2 linked regions of the Arabidopsis thaliana genome follow. The protein of the gene in region 1 interacts with the protein of each later gene in a pairwise test. Each region holds a gene or a part of one and is shown on either strand. Other genes may lie near its edges.

What was found.
Region 2: the proteins of ABIL2 (region 1) and AT4G26410 interact in a two-hybrid assay, tested with the Arabidopsis thaliana proteins (one large-scale study listed by BioGRID).

Annotation. Positions count from the first base shown.
Region 1 is NC_003074.8:18,270,242-18,275,947, forward strand, and holds ABIL2 (ABL interactor-like protein 2), read left to right. Parts: upstream 1-2,041; 5' UTR 2,042-2,565; intron 2,566-3,101; 5' UTR 3,102-3,165; coding exon 3,166-3,243; intron 3,244-3,508; coding exon 3,509-3,591; intron 3,592-3,681; coding exon 3,682-3,832; intron 3,833-3,944; coding exon 3,945-4,044; intron 4,045-4,112; coding exon 4,113-4,205; intron 4,206-4,289; coding exon 4,290-4,332; intron 4,333-4,421; coding exon 4,422-4,513; intron 4,514-4,589; coding exon 4,590-4,714; intron 4,715-4,806; coding exon 4,807-4,980; 3' UTR 4,981-5,201; downstream 5,202-5,706. UniProt on the Arabidopsis thaliana protein: Involved in regulation of actin and microtubule organization. Part of a WAVE complex that activates the Arp2/3 complex.
Region 2 is NC_003075.7:13,344,758-13,349,666, forward strand, and holds AT4G26410 (chromosome-associated kinesin), read left to right. Parts: upstream 1-1,896; 5' UTR 1,897-2,002; coding exon 2,003-2,245; intron 2,246-2,737; coding exon 2,738-2,804; intron 2,805-3,020; coding exon 3,021-3,098; intron 3,099-3,230; coding exon 3,231-3,283; intron 3,284-3,395; coding exon 3,396-3,532; intron 3,533-3,619; coding exon 3,620-3,684; intron 3,685-3,799; coding exon 3,800-3,858; intron 3,859-3,944; coding exon 3,945-4,034; 3' UTR 4,035-4,380; downstream 4,381-4,909. Other genes in the region: AT4G26400 (RING/U-box superfamily protein), read right to left, coding at 196-1,266; AT4G26415 (uncharacterized protein), read right to left, coding at 4,381-4,870.

The sequences.
Region 1 (5,706 bases):
CGACAAAGCTTCGTGAACCTCATTGAAGTTGAACTGCAAAACCTGCGAACAAATAGGCGAGAAACAGAACATGATATACCACTATGGAGAGGAAAAATGACTGCTACAGAAAGAATTTTGTATCCAAGGAGACGTGGCTGCAGATTCGTTCAACAAGGCCAGAGATGCAGGACTACAAAGCGATATGGTTCTCGGATGCAACTCCGAAGTATGCGTTTGTCACTTGGTTGGTGGTGAAGAATAGAATTGCAACAGGGAGAGAATGCTGAAATGGAACAAAAACGTGGGTACTAGCTGTCTTCTCTGCAACTATCCTTTGGAGACAAGAGAACATTTATTTTTCCAATGCCCTTATTCGAGAACGGTGTGGAGTGAACTGGCGGGAAGACTACTAGCTAGCAAATATACGGACAATTGGCTAGATATCATGAAGGAGTTAGTGAGTAAAGATCTTGACGCCACTACAAGGATTGTGCTTCGGTATGTGTTTCAAAACACGATACATTCTATATGGAGAGAGAGAAATGAGAGAAGACATGGAGAGACGCGCCATCGAGGACGGAGAAGATAATCAGGCTAATCGACAAAAACATAAGGAATCGATTAAGCACGCTAAGGGTGAGAGGTGAAGAGAAGTACCCAAGAGGAATCCAAGTGTGGTTTGCTTCAAGGCAAGATCAAAATCAAGGATAGATAAGATACACATTTGATCTATTTTTTTTAAAAAAGTTTGCATTTATATGTATAAACAGTTTATTTTTCTTTGAATATAATTTAACATTAAATTTTTTAAAAAAAAATGCCTATGTTGCCTACTCTTAGAGAAGCGCATAATGTATCTTTGGACTTTCGACAAGACCAAAAGTTCGACTCACACGATGTTTTTATAACAAATTTTAACCAAAACGACGTTGTTTTATAATATATATGATGTTATATAGTCTGTTAAAGTTGAGTCTTATATTGCAGCCTTTGCAGGTGGAGAATAAATTTACCAAAAAAATTAAAAGTTGTGAATATTTATTTGCAATTTTTCTTCGCTTTAGAAGTTTTTAAAAATTAGTATTATTAAACCGTAGTATTATTGAAAAATAATACTTTTTAGTTTTTAAAAAATGTTTCACACATGCAAGAATTTGAAGAAAAATCCGACTGCTAACCAAAATACTAAAATAGCGAATTAAACATGGGACTCATAACTTTTGTATTAAATGACTAAACTAAAAAAGATGCAATTGAAAGAAAATGAATTGCATGTTTAATTGGTTGCACCAAAAAGTTTGTTTGGTGATAGGAAATAACTGATGATATAAATTTTCACAAAATGACGACCGCTCCACCATAGTAACTACTCAAAATTTGTCAGTGATAATGAGCATGACAAACATGATTTATAAAGACACGGCGAGTCCCCAACACCTGCAGCTCAACTAATCAAGTTTCTTGATATATGATACGCAACAAATTATCTTCAGTCCGTCGTCGGGATCCACACAAATACGAGGATGGACTTCGGTTATGGTTCGCCTCTAGGAACTAGTTGTTTCAATCTCTTTACAAATCTTTTCTCAAAATAACATTTAAAATAAGGTTGCATTCATTGTACAAAGGTTTTTTGGTTGAATAAATTTTAAATTCATTCAAAAAAAAACATGATTTATAATCATGGAACTATAGTTACTATTTTAAAAAGTAATAAAGAACTACATGGTTATCCAAAGACGTGCGTCCCTTAATCATTGCATGTTTTTTCAATTTTTATCTTTTGTCTCAAAAGTTATTTTGTTAAAAATGTAATGAAATTGTTATCCTAGATATACTCATGTTACAGACCACACGATCGTAAGCTTGTTAGTTAAAAAAAAAAACACTATTATGCCTACTTTATTAAAAAAAATCTAAGAGTCCACTCAAAAGTCAAAACACTCCAAACTCGCCTACCAAAAAAAAAAAAAATCACTCCAAACTTAAAATCCACTAAAATGAACCAAAATGCTTAGTACAAGATATCATCTTAATTGCAATCGAACTACCTAATGCATTTGATTCAATATCTTGTTTCTTTTAAGTTTTAACTATCCACAAAGCCATGACTTGGGAATGTGATTGATCGATAAAACTTTTTCATTTGATTCAATATCATTTTACTAACTATTCGGTTATTTTAAAAAGTTCGGTTCGGATGCGGTTTTGTTTTTACGGTTCGGTTCATTCGGTTATTTGCTTACCGATTTTTCTGCAAGAGAGCGCGTTTCGTTTGTCTCCGCAAACGATGGGACAAAGTGGGTTAAGTCTGAGGTTGTTTCTTCGACTTGTCTCTCTAGTCTCTATACCAACAACACTCAACGAGACAAGACCATCATCATCACTCACTTCCTTCCTTCCTTCAAATCTCAACTAAATCAATAGACATTCCTCTCTTTGTCTCTCTCTATCCAAATTTGAACTGTAACTGTCTTCAAAATCTTCATTTTTCTCAGACAAATTGGATCTCTCCTTGGAGCAGAAACACCCATTAAAGGAACAATAGAGAGAGTTTTGGATTGAATAATCACAGTTCCACAGGTTTCCTTCCACTCTCATTATCTTAAATTTCACTTAAAGGTCGAAACTTTTGGTCCACTGGTTTCATTATCTTCTTTTAAACACATCAATTTGTTTAGGATTTAACTTGTGATTTTGAATTGGTTTTACTACTTCTCCTCTCTCGATTTAGCAAGTTAAAAGCTTTTTTTTTTTTAGTGTTCTTGAGGGTTTTAGGGTACAATTTTGTTTCCTCAGGACTGGGTTTTGCTTTCTTGTTTCATATGTGTTTTATTGTTCTTGATGAATTCATTGTACATTATAAAATATTGTCTCAGCTATTGGTACACAGTTTTCTTTCTCCCTGGGAATTGTTTGTTAATTTTTAATAGAGTACTAATAAAAGATTAGAAAATCTGTGGTTACTTTAGAGAGCTGTGGATTCTACTTGTTTGTTTGTTTCTTCTTATTGGATTAGTTATGGAGCAAAGTAAAAGCCTTGTTCATTTTCTTTGTTCATATGTAATAAAAACAACTAGTGATATACAAGTGTTCTTGGAAAATCTTGAATGAAACAGCTTTGAAGAAGACTGAGGTTTATCTTCCTCTCTGTTGAAAAAATAGAAGACTGCAGTGGCTACAATGCCTGCGTCACATGAAGCTTCAAATTACGATGAGGTTTCTATGCAGCAAAGTATGCTCTTCTCTGATGGTCTTCAGGTAGATTCTGAATTTGCAAAATATTGCCTAGTTTCTGATAAATTGTTCAAATCTCCATCTGACTTAGAAGGACAATGCTATAATACCAAGCACATACTATCTTTCTATATGTGAAACCGATGACAAAAGTAAAATGATAATTAATGGTCTCTGTGATTGAAGATCCAAGTGTTGTTACAATGCTGAATCATATCTTGTTTTCTAAAATCTTTGTAGGTTTATTTGACAATTAATTGAAAGGTTTTCTGCTCTTTTATTTCCTCAGGACTTGAAGAATCTGCGAGCGCAGTTGTATTCAGCAGCCGAGTATTTCGAACTATCTTACACAACCGATGATAAAAAGCAGATGTGAGTTAGTATTAAGCAGCGCTTCAGATTTATTGTGTCACAAAAAATTTCTTGGTTTTTCTCAGTAGTTGTTTCTCATGTTAAGTGCAGTGTTGTAGAGACACTGAAAGACTACGCTGTGAAGGCTCTGGTGAATACAGTTGACCATTTAGGCTCTGTTACATATAAAGTGAATGACTTTATCGATGAAAAAGTCGATGAAGTATCAGAGACCGAGCTGCGAGTATCTTGCATCGAACAGGTATAAAAAAGCTCCTAAAAACTTGTATTTATCCGTGAAGGTTTCTTTTTGGGGTTACTAAGTTGTAATTTTGTGTTTATGTTGGGAAAAATAACAATGGGATGGTGGTTAGAGGCTAAGAATGTGCCAAGAGTATATGGATCATGAAGGGCGTTCACAGCAATCACTTGTTATTGACACTCCAAAGTTCCATAAACGATACATCTTACCCGGTAAATTCTCTCTTTCTCGCACTCGGGTTAGAAATTTTCGATACTCACTAAGATGCAATCTTTATCAGCGGGTGAAATTATGACTGCTACAAATCTTGAAAAGCTTAAGTACTTTGGAAGCAGTTTAGAGGATGCAGATGATTGGAACCAATTCCGAAATGGTGAGTTTGTATCTTCTATGTTTCTGTTGTACACAATCCAAGATTCAAGATTTCTTACTAACTGATTGGTTTGCTCTTTTATAGCTGTTCGTGCTACAATCCGGGAAACGCCTCCACCACCTGTTAGGTAAATTATCCAAACGCTTGCTCAAGAAATAACACAACACACATTTTCAAACACAAGAACAAAACAATGAGACCTGATTGTCTTTGCAGAAAATCAACATCTCAGAGTTCATCTCCACGGCAACCACCTCAACGATCAGCAACCTTTTCGTTTACCTCTACCATTCCAAAGAAAGAACAAGGTAAACACCACAATCGCTTGGTTTTTTTCCGCTCGATACTCGATCCTTTATACATGTTTTCGTGTGATATAATCAGATAAGAGATCAGTTTCACCGCATCGGTTTCCACTACTAAGATCTGGATCAGTCGCTACCAGGAAGTCAGCATCAATCAGCCGACCAACGACACCAAGCAAGAGCAGATCTATAACTCCTATACGGGTATAAAAAGCTTCCATTGGAACAAAACTCCACCAGAAAATGTGTTTCATCAATTTACCTCTTCTTGATTCTTCTTCTTTTGCATTTTCCAGTATCCATCAGAACCAAGAAGATCGGCTTCGGTCCGAGTCGCATTCGAGAAAGATAACCAGAAAGAAACAGAGCAGCAACAACCGAGCAAGAGCAAACGATTGCTCAAGGCTTTGCTTAGTCGACGCAAAACCAAGAAAGATGACACTCTCTACACTTTCTTGGACGAATACTGAAATGCCAATACCGGTTTTTATTTGTGCAAGCGCTTTACTAAACCGGAAAATTGTGGATTTCCTATTTTTTCTTTTATTTTTCTATATTATATTTTATAATATAAATACACAAACTATACCAAAACATCGAATTTTTACCCATACAAAAGTCATAATCATGATTCGTGTTGTTATGAGATATAAAATTTCACGATCTGTACATCTTCTCGATTTGATATACTATGGTCATAGATTCGATCATTAGCACCAAAGGGATATATATTATATATATTAGACATATACATATTAACATATATAAGAGAAAAATTTAACATAATACATTTACAACCAATCGTAAATGCTACGTTGCATGTCTATTGACACCCATCGGGACATGCTTTGTTTTTCGGATATACGACATGCATGACGGGCTCTTGGTGTATCTGCATCACATGCCGAAGAAACAAGAAAGTGAGGATGTTCAAAATTTTATTCATTTGTAGGTGGAACTTTGTTACGAAGAAAGAGATCGAATGAAAAAAAAAATGTTTGAGTTTCGTAACTTATAAATAATCTTATGGTTCAGTCAAATATATGGTAATCTAATGGTAAAAAACAATGTTGAGTTTCACAAAAACATGTGTCAAGTAGAGATTCCTTTTCTTTTTTTTTGGCAAGTAGAGTTTGGTTGATTGAATATAAAGTAGCTATAATATCCAGAAAAGCTTACATTAAGGATCCTTTTTT
Region 2 (4,909 bases), on another chromosome or scaffold:
CATAAATACCTGTGTTCATCTTTTTATATTTTACTAAATTAAAAGGGATACTTTTAACGGAAACCCAAATGATCATCAGATATTATAATACAAATAAAGAAAAGATTCCATTCCTCGAAAGTGTTTATTTGTTATGCAGTATTCAACAATCTGAGTGAACAAGATTTTATGTACTATAAGCTGAGGAATAGCAGTTTACGAGTTCTCACCGAGATGAGATGACCCCGAGGCCGATGCGGATGACGAAGAGGATGAAGAGAATAATCCGCTGAACGGCCATGGAAAAGAGAACCTTCTCTCGCTCACATTACTGTTCCTTGCATCATCTTCCACATTCTCATTACTTACGTTGATCTCTAGAGTTCTTGTTCTCGGTCTTACAGGATTAACCTTGGTCTCATCATCAGGAGGGAGTTCATATCGGCACACGGGACATGAACTGTGAAGCTCGAGCCACGGTACTATACACCGGATGTGAAACTTGTGCTTACACGGCATCTCTTTAGCTTCACTTCCTTTGTCAAAATCATCCAAACAAATCGAGCACTGCAATGATTCACTTATCTTAACCGTTGGGAGATTATCCACAACTTCTTTACGTGCTGGAAGACTCCCGTGCCTGATTGAATCATTATCAGCTAGATGTTCAAGCAAATGGTCTAAACTGGATCCAACAAAGTAATCTCCAATTGCAGAAAGAGAAGTATTGTTCCGGTTTTGATTCAAACTCGTTGAACCCTGAACAACAGCTGATTGATTTAACAGGTCTCGATCCGAGCTCTCATACTCAGAAGCAATCCCTGCACGAATACCCTGAAGCAACTGCAATATAGTAGCTGAGCTTCTCCGTCTCCTCCTAAGGATAGACTCAAACTCTCTGTCTAAATCAATCTCTCTACCTTGTTGCCTGTGGCGATGACGACGATGATGATGTCGATCAATATCGACGCTGTCATTTCCATCAACATCATCAGATACATTGACCTCATCATTATCCACACCAAACTCTGTCCTCCTAAACCTTCTACGTCTACGAGGATTACTCATCATTCCAAGCAAGATTGGACCCCATAGAGACAATGCACGGTCTGTACCAAAATCAATCTCAGGGTCTTGAACCTCCCTTAGACTGCTACTGCTGCCGCCATTAATCTCACGGCTCATTTCCTCGACAAACCCGCTTTGGCAAAAGGGGCATTTGATCTCGGCACCAATAACTGGATTCACCATTTGTGAACACATGTGACACCAATACCTAGCTGACATTGCCTCTTCCTCCTTCTTTCCTTCCCCACCCAAACCTCTCGTTTCTGAAACAACCAGAAGAACAACAAAAAAAAAAACATGAAGAAGCAAACCTATAAAGTTTCGACCTTTGTTTCATCAGATCTAAATAAAGAGAATGGTATTCCCAAAAGTTTCACTAAAAAGAGGATAATATCATCTTCACCAACATCATTAGCTCAAGTTTCAGACAACAAAACGCAAGCTTTCTATGCAAATGCGAATAAACAGATCAACCAAAATTTGCCTCTATAAAGAGATAACAATAGAAATCAGGGCTAATCCATGAAAAGAAAACTCTCAATTCTCATGGAGTAATTAAAACAAAACAAATACAAAAACAAACCTTGTAAATGTTCTTACTTTTGGAGATCCAGAGGGAAGAAATGTCTTCCTCCTTCTTTTAGATCTCCACGAAGATAAATGAGAGCTTTTTTATTTGTCTTCTTCTGCAGAAATGGTGGGAGACGAAGAAAAGAGGAATGAAGGAGGAAAGGAAGACGAAGATGAAGACGAAGAAAAGGGAATGTAATGTATAGTTCGCAGACCCAATCTTAAAGCCCATTAACCGCAAACTGATATATAAAGGAGCCGGGTCTATCTTAACCATTTAAAACCAACTTCTAATTTGGAATCAAATTGAACCGAATCGAACCGGTTGAAGTTGAAAGAAGGAGAAAAGGCGTTGTCTCCGTGCGAGAAAGGCAAATCGGAGACGATGAGCGAAACCGAAGCAACCGGCGTTACCGATGATTCGGCTCCAGCGATTGAGACTGAAACTGTTTCTGATGCGATGGAGCATACAGCGATCGGAGTGGTTGAATCGGTGGAAGGAGCCATAGAAGGAGCAGAGAAATGGGTGGGTGATTTGCAACGGACGGTGAAGGAATCGAAGGATACCGCAATGCGTTCTGCTCGTTCCCTCCGTGAAAATTCTACCTCTCAGTTCCGCTCTATACAGGTTAGTTAATCTCTCTTTTGTTCACCAAACAATTTTTGCGAATCGAGATTGTTTACCAAAAAACATTTTCAGGATTTCAAACCATGGATATGGTGGAATTTAGTATCTCGTAAGCTATAATTTCTAGAAATGAGCTCGATTCAGAACAGATATTTCTCCAATTAGCAGTTTTATGTATTGAATGGTGCTAGTTTTTGTTCATATGGGTAAAATCTTGTTGAATCATACCATTATAACTTATTGGCAATGATCTTAGTCTCTTCCTGGGTTCTGATTCTGCTTCAAATGGTTGTTTAGAAGACTGTAATGTATCGCTGAGGCATTCTTGATTATTCTCTAAACAATGTTTTTATATGATATCAGATATTCATGTAGCTTAATGATGTGTGATATGGAGTAGACCCTATCTGGCTGAAATCACAGTTCCATTAGATGTATGTATATGTCTTCGTCTTCTCTCATACAATCTTACATTTGATTCTGAAATTGCAGGATTTCATTCCACATGCTTTGACTCAGTATAAGACCTATGAGAATGCTTTCTTCAGTAAAGTTACAGGTATCTTGCAGCCAATTTTCGTGAAAAAGTTATACTGGTAGACTACTGTAATGCTTAGGAACGAGTATTTTAGATCAAACTGAGATATAACAGATAGCTGCCACAAAACTTTTATATATACTTGTAGTGCATCTTATAGTGTTCTGAAACTAGAATCTTCATGTCATTCCGATTAATCAATCCTCGTATCCTCTGCTGCTTTTGTTATCCTCGCAGACGAATTGATATACGCAAAAGAGCATCCGGCTGCTGCTATTGGGATTGGTGTCGCTGCTAGTCTCGTTCTGATGCGAGGTATAACCTCTACTCTCTTATCACTTTTACAACTTACAAGATTCCTTCCCGTAGGAGCATCCAAATGGTATTACATCTGTTTTACTTATATGTGTCTTGTATGAATTTGGTTTTCTATTGTTCGACTTACAGGCCCAAGAAGATTCTTGTTTCGTAATACACTAGGCCGATTTCAGAGCGAAGAGGTATATACTATACCAGCTTCAAATTTATTTCTTAACGTTGTTATGCTTAGTTGCCCTGGTCTGTGTCCCTTCCCTTATTTTTACATCCACTTCAAAATCATCGTCGCTTCAGGCACAATTCTTGAAAGCTGAGAAGCATGTTCAGGAGTTAAACATGTCTGTAGACTTGATGAAAAAGGAGAGCAGGAAATTGCTTGAGAGGACGGCTTTAGCAGAGAAGGATATGAAACGTGGTCTCTCTGAGCTCATGTATGCCCCAACATGGACGCTCCCACTTCTTTTATTAAGTTATTGACATCATTTATGTTAATATGGGTACTACTGTTATATCTATAGGAACTCTGGAAACGATATACATCGTCTTGCTAAGTCCGTCCACAAAGCTGAATGTGAAGCTGCTGGTAATCTTGAACAAGATTTATTTTTACTCACTTCTCCCTTCTCCCTTCAAATGGTATCTTTGATAATGCCACTACGTCAGATTTCAACTTACACAAAGAGTTCTATTCGCTGCAGATTTGATGGACGGACTTCGGCAAATTCCTGGAAGGGATGCTATCAAGCTTAGAGCTGAAGTGAGTCTGACTTTTTTCTTCTCGCCCATTGTTTGAGCTTCATTGCTATGAACGTCTCATTAAATTCTTTTGTCGTAAATCATTAGGTGGCTTCCATGACTTCGCTTTTGAGACAGAAGAGGATTGCATTGAACAAAAGGATCATGGGTATGTCGGACCTAGGAGTTTCCGTCTGATATATCCAACACAAATCCACAATTTCTTGGGTTTTCGCAACCAAAGTTTGTTAGGTATTTTCCAATTGAATCGCAGTGTACTCTCGTCCATCGAACATCCAACTCTGTCTGAAACCAAAATCTGAGCTTGAGACAGAACTTGTATACTGTGTTTTTGCCTGCTTCCTAAGATTTCTCGCTCAGAGAGAATTAATTGAGTCACAAAAATGTGTGTGCTTGGTTTGGAAATCCTTAATTATGTAGTCTAGAAGATTTATGAGAAACATAGAAAGTTACTGAATCAATCAGTAATGAAAATTTATAGATAACATGAAGGTTTTTAATGGGCTAGTTTTGCATCGTAAGTCTATGGGAGACGGGCTGTGGGCCATCCACCCATGCGACTAGGCGACCCAACTGCTCCGATTGGTCTAGTAATGTTAAACCCTCCAGACGAGCAAGAAGCTTCAGTCGTCGGACCGGTCCGACCATTAACGTCCAGAGTCCGTTCTCTCCTCCTTAGACGCTCCCTCTTGAGCAGAGTCCCTAACTTATCTTTTCCCGATTTTCCCTTGTCCGGAACAGGTATCATCTCCAGACCCATCAGCTTTGCAACAACCCCCGTCTTGCACCATACCACACTCTCTCCGGCCACTGTCCGTGGCAGGCGTTTTGTCTCCAAGCTCATCTGGCTCGATCTCTTTGATGTCCGTTGATCCCCGCAGTGGGATCTCCGCCCACCCTGTATCGTCATGTCAGCACTGGTGCCAAGATGGCGCCGGAAGGATGACCGGTACATAGCGTCCTTACCGTCCAGTGAGAAACGTGGGTACTGATTCAACGCGTTCCTTGCTGACCTTAACGGCAGACAAACAGAAGTTGATATTAGTATTGAT